Linked DNA regions of Kluyveromyces lactis. The protein of the gene in region 1 interacts with the protein of each later gene in a pairwise test. Links are inferred from orthologs where the notes say so. Each region holds a gene or a part of one and is shown in the gene's direction. Other genes may lie near its edges. The genes, in order: SUB2 and THO1.

Region 1 (3,339 bases):
GGAAGAAACGGTATATGGTATGACGGGCGAGGGGGTATTGAACGCTAAATTTAAAGATTTTAGGCAATGGAAAAACAAGTTTAGTCAATTGCATGATTTATTCCTTCGGTGCTTGCAATCCAAATTAAAAAGATGCCATCAGTTTTACTACATCTGTAAATACGTTCCACATGGCTCAAACGAAGCCAATAAGATGATATTTTTTGCATTAAAAGTGAAGATTCAGCAGGTAAATGCTGGCACAGAGAAAGATGTGACAATATCTTTGCTATGTGAACCAATTACAAGGGAGTTAAGTCCCATCTCTCCTGAAGAAGCAAAGGAACAATTCTTACAAGATCTAAATTCCATTTTGAAACGTATAGACGCTAACTCTACGGACCTAGTCGTTTTGGAAGGGTTAACACAGACGGAACATTGGGACTGGTCACAATGTCTAGAATTAGTCAAAACGCACAAGCTAAACGGTAAATTGTATACGGTTCCCTGGGGAAATGACCTACTCACGAATTGTTTAAACAAGGATAATAATATTGCGGTCACTTTTGAGAAAATCACACAAGATTCGAATTCAGCGGTGGCTACCAAAGATATGGTTAACTTTACCTCTGTGTCTGTCATGCTTAAGGAAATAATCACCAACGCAACGCCGTTACCAGCCGTTGCCATCAATAATTCGCGCACTCAAAGGGACGCTATACGGCAATTAATTCGAACTATATCTGAGAATGAGTCGCGGTTGTATAGAGAAATACATGATCCTGATGCCCGTGTCACTCTTTGCAACATTTTCAATCAAGCGCGCTTACTTGAAGAGTCATTATCTACTTGCGCTGTTGAACTCACGTGACTTGTTATTGTCATTTCTGCATTTAATTGGGTTCTAGATTACCCGCATTATTTCACGTGATCAACCAATGTCACTTCTCAGTGGCAAAATTGACTGCTTACATGTAGTACGTGGTATCACTCCTGACGACAGTGAAATATATCTGTTTTAACGACGAAATGAGAACGTAAGAAAAAAACAGCGAAAGGTAAGAGAATTTCAAAACAATAATTTGGCATAGATTATGAAGAAAAGGTGCGTGTTGTGCTCTGACGGTTGTTAATTGAATTAAGGATTTATACGTGTTTAATCTAAGGATAGAACTTGTTGAGAAGCAACTTGGTATTGTCAACCACAAGGAAGAAGACCCAACCGAAACAATGTCTCACGAAGCAGAAGAGGATTTATTGGAGTATTCCGATAACGAACAAGAAGTTCAAGTTGACAACAAGGCCACTGAAGTGAATGCCGAGGGTAACGGTGAGAGCCAAGCAAAGGATTCTGATAAGAAAGGTTCTTATGTTGGTATTCACTCCACTGGTTTCAAGGATTTCTTGTTGAAGCCAGAATTGTCCAGAGCTATCATTGACTGTGGTTTTGAACATCCTTCTGAAGTGCAACAACATACCATTCCTCAATCCATTCATGGTACTGACGTCTTATGTCAAGCTAAGTCTGGTCTAGGTAAGACTGCTGTGTTCGTGTTGTCTACTTTGCAACAATTGGATCCAGTTCAAGGTGAAGTCAGTGTCGTCGTGCTATGTAACGCGAGAGAATTGGCTTACCAAATTAGAAACGAATACTTGAGATTCTCCAAATACATGCCAGACGTTAAGACTGCTGTATTTTACGGTGGTACTGAATATAAGAACGATATTGATTTGCTATCCAAGAAGGAAACCGTCCCTCATATCATTGTAGCCACTCCTGGTCGTTTAAAGGCTTTGGTTAGAGACAAGCATATCGATCTATCTCACGTCAAGAACTTTGTCATTGATGAATGTGACAAGGTCTTGGAAGAATTGGATATGAGAAGAGATGTTCAAGATATTTTTAGAGCCACCCCAAGAGATAAGCAAGTTATGATGTTTTCCGCAACTCTATCCCAAGAAATCAGACCAATCTGTAGAAGATTCCTTCAAAATCCATTAGAAATCTTTGTCGATGACGAAGCCAAGTTGACTCTACACGGTTTGCAACAATACTATATCAAATTGAATGAAAAGGAAAAGAACCGTAAGTTGGCTCAATTGTTGGACGATTTGGAATTCAACCAAGTTATCATTTTCGTCAAGTCTACTGTCAGAGCTAACGAATTGACCAAACTATTGAATGCTTCTAACTTCCCAGCCATCACTGTGCATGGTCACATGAAACAAGAAGAACGTATTGCTCGTTACAAGGCTTTCAAGGAATTCGAAAAACGTATTTGTGTTTCCACTGATGTTTTCGGTAGAGGTATTGATATCGAACGTATTAACTTGGCCATTAATTATGATATGCCAAACGAAGCAGACCAATACTTGCATCGTGTTGGTAGAGCTGGTAGATTCGGTACCAAGGGTTTGGCTATCTCCATGATATCTAGTGAAGATGACGAACAAGTCTTGGCCAAGATCCAAGAAAGATTTGATGTTAAGATCACTGAGTTCCCAGAAGAAGGTGTTGATCCATCTACTTATTTGAACACTTAGATATTTCATCATAGCGTTTTACTTCAGAATTTTTTACCAAAACTAGAAAATTGCAAAAACAAGCTGGAATGTGTATTATCAAATAAAATGTGGTTTTTATACAGTTTAAAACGAATTTCCAATAGTCCCATTATAACTAAGTAACATAATTGGAGTATAAGTGTATAAAATCAATTCAATTCTCATGAAAAAAAGCTTCATTGTATGTCGGGTTTAGGTATTAGTGTTTCCTCATATGCCCTTGCAGATAATTAAAGCGGAGACGTCTGTCATGAATATAATATAAACTGGATTTATGTGATGTACATAAGGTCTATCAAGCCGCTTGTCAGCTTTTACAGGTGAGAAAAGTAAACATATGGGCCTTTCTGGACAAGCAGGTTACGCTTTCTGTAGTCGAACCGTGTCATTGGCGTGGTTCGGCAGAAACGACGTCTGTTTCTTTTATTTTTATGTGTTATTATTGTCATTTGGTCTTCCTGCAGACGAAAATAAGAAATAGAATAATAACTCTGGGGTAAAAACAAATAAAGAGTATGTTCTTACAAGACATCCTTTACAGTCCCATCTGCTGTATTAAAACTCCGTAATTTTGGTAGTGCCGCACCTTTCGGAAGCGATGGCCTATTGAGATGCAATATAGGCAGTTCAGGACGCTCTATTTTCTGATTTGAACTGCTGTTGATCCTAATCAAATGTGAATCAGGTGTCACCTCTGATACCGTACTCAGACTTGGTAAATGCTGCGCTGCTGGAACTGATGCGGCTGGAGTCACCATGTTTGCTGTTGAGGGACTAAGTCCATTATTAAACTGC
Region 2 (2,763 bases), on another chromosome or scaffold:
GACCGAATTTTTCTGGGATTTCACCTTCCAACTTGGTGACATATTCTTCGTTGGCGTAATCTGGAGCGAACTGCTTGATAACATCGTATGTTCTCCATCCGTGAGAGATATCGATGACATGTTGGGAGTCGAAGTAAGGCTTGTCCTTACCGAAATCTCTCCAGAATTCAGCAATAGCTGGTTGAGAGATGATCAAAGTACCATCAACGTCGAACAAAGCAGCGTTGACTCTTAGAGAGATAGGTTGTTGAGCAGTGTTAGAGGCGGTAGCAGCAGACATTTTTTCTATAATAATTGTAATTCTTAATGAATTTGGTTGTTGATGTTCTTTTAGAATATACAATTTGTAGTAGAATAGGGATATACTACAAAGTTTATGATGACTCTTGAATTCAAATTAACCATGATTCGATGGCCTTTATATATTTTGTTTCTGAATCAAACGTCCCGTTTCTTATTCCAATACCCAGTATATACATAAATTAGATAATAGACAATAGACAATAGACAAGAAGTTCAAGTAGTCACGATAGAAAGGACAAAAATGCGTACCACCAGTTACAAGATACCTCATATTAGGGTCTTTGATAATTTGGCACATAGTGAAACCAACTAAAAGAAAAGAGAGACAAATGAGGACTGATAGGAATACATGATATGATATGACACAGATCAGAAGCATAGATGATTACCATACAAAAGTAACAGCCAAAAAAAAAGAACAGTGCATGGAGTAACTGACACTCGTCACCAGAGAGCCAATGCGAAAAGTAACCCAACAGGAATCCCGAAACAAAAGAAAAAGAAGCTTTGGTTTCTTTTTGTCATTTTATGGTGAGCCATTTTGGTGGCAGCTGGTGTAGTAGCTGTGAATCGGAATCAGTCGCTAAAATCTTTTTTTGTGCAGAAAGAAGAAATAAAACGGAATAGGTGATGGATAGGGAAAAGAAAAGCGACAAGGAGGCAAAGGAGGGACAAGCGATTTGGGAAGCTGCGTAGGTGGCTTGGGGAGTGCAGCCGCACGGGGTGGACAAATAGAAGAACAAGGACAGTTGTCCCTGTGAGTCCATTTTTGTGCAAAGGGGACAAGCGGGATGTCCCCTCCCCTCTTCAGAGTGTTTTTTTGTCTCTTTTTTCTTTTTTTGCTGGGTCAGGTGGGAGGGTCAGATTTCTTTTTGCCTTATGGAGGGAGGACACACGAGACACGAGGCTGGAAGGTGGTGGGCAGGTGTCCTTTAGGTAACTTAATGGGTGGGTGTTGCCTCATTTGGAGATAAAATTGAAGGTGTGCGTGAGTAATCAGGGCGGGTAACATTGAGCTTCTCTTTTTGTTGTTAAAAAACTATTGTCCAGGGTAACGTGTTACCCTGGATGTCCGGGTAAGAAGTGTTCTTTCTTTTACACGCACACGCACACGCACACAGTTTGTTCATGGAAACTTAACATGTTGACATTTGATATATGTATACGTATCTTGGAAACGACTTATTGGCATGCGCGACTACCGAGACAATTGGAAAGTAAAACCTCCTCTTTTCCCGACCCGAACTATTCAAAAACATATTCTCCTTTGTTCGCTATGTCGTATTCTGGTAACACCGTTGCTCAATTGAAGGAGTTGTTGAAGCAAAGAAATCTATCTACAGATGGTTTGAAAGCAGACCTAATAAACAGACTACAAGATGATGACTCCACAAAAAACAGTGCAACCAATGAACCATCGTCTATAGCGGAAGTAGAAGCGACCGCTTCTGCCACCGCTGCCGCTGCCCCTACGATAACTTCTTCCATCCCAGATGCTGTACCTGCAGATGCATCAGCTGCGGTTCCTGAAAATGAAAACGTACCATCTACCGAAGAAGACAAACTCGAAAAAACTCCTCCTGCTACCCCAGCCCCAAAGAATCCAGAGCTATCGCAAGATCAATTGAAACAAGCGGCCATTGACCATTTACAGAAAAAAATCTATCGTGCTGAAAAATTCGGACAAGATGATTCTACCATCGATGACTTGCAAAGGCAGATCAACCGTATTGAAAAGTTCGGTTTAGATTTGTCTACCCAATTGGCTAAGGAGCTAGGATTCGGTAAGGGTCCCGACGCAGCCGTCGGTAAGCCAGACAGGAAATCCTTCCAGAAGAAAAATCGTAATAAATCAAACAACAAACGCCGTTAATTCCTCTTCATAAGCGGAACTCGTAGTACCCACCCATCCCTTTAAAGAACAAACTTCCCAAAAATGATGTAAAAAGAAGATTTTCCAGATCTTCTTTACAATTGTTCCGTACTCTCTTCTTGTCGCATTAGTTGTATGTTATGTAATATATATTCAATTGATGAGTCCTTGACCACTCATTCTCTCTGTCAAGTAAAAAAAAATAAAAACGAACCTTACATAATTTGAATCCAAGCACCGGTCAATTACTGCTCAATATATGTCTTTTCGATGCGCATTGGCAGTGCATAGTTTTTTTACATTTCAAATAAGACTACTGCTAAGTAGCGGGAACCTTCGATAGACAAAACTGAGAAAAAAAGAGTGAAACAGAAAACATATCGTCAAGTTTAATACTTATAAAATTTGGCGCTCGCTTCCTAGTATAAGCCTCGAAGAAAATTGTAACACAGAGCCGAGAATTTGTTGTGATTTCGCAACTCATCGGCTTTTTTATCAAGCGAATGTGTCTCCAGACTGGAAAATTTAGAAATTTGAAAAATATCAAAAAAAAAAAATGAAATAAAAGAAAATGAATCCTGAAATAT

The links.
Region 2: the proteins of SUB2 (region 1) and THO1 interact in a two-hybrid assay, tested with the Saccharomyces cerevisiae proteins (2 studies listed by BioGRID). The link is inferred for Kluyveromyces lactis from reciprocal best matches to the Saccharomyces cerevisiae genes SUB2 and THO1.

Annotation. Positions count from the first base shown.
Region 1 is NC_006041.1:1,958,561-1,961,899, forward strand, and holds SUB2 (ATP-dependent RNA helicase SUB2), read left to right. Parts: upstream 1-1,209; coding exon 1,210-2,523; downstream 2,524-3,339. Other genes in the region: KLLA0_E21913g (uncharacterized protein), read left to right, coding at 1-850; FDO1 (Fdo1p), read right to left, coding at 3,066-3,339. UniProt on the Saccharomyces cerevisiae protein: ATP-binding RNA helicase component of the TREX complex involved in transcription elongation and required for the export of mRNA out of the nucleus. SUB2 also plays a role in pre-mRNA splicing and spliceosome assembly.
Region 2 is NC_006039.1:719,270-722,032, reverse strand, and holds THO1 (Tho1p), read left to right. Parts: upstream 1-1,444; coding exon 1,445-2,176; downstream 2,177-2,763. Other genes in the region: KLLA0_C08217g (HAD family hydrolase), read right to left, coding at 1-280. UniProt on the Saccharomyces cerevisiae protein: Facilitates RNA binding of SUB2 and likely plays a role in mRNA export. Suppressor of the transcriptional defect of HPR1 by overexpression.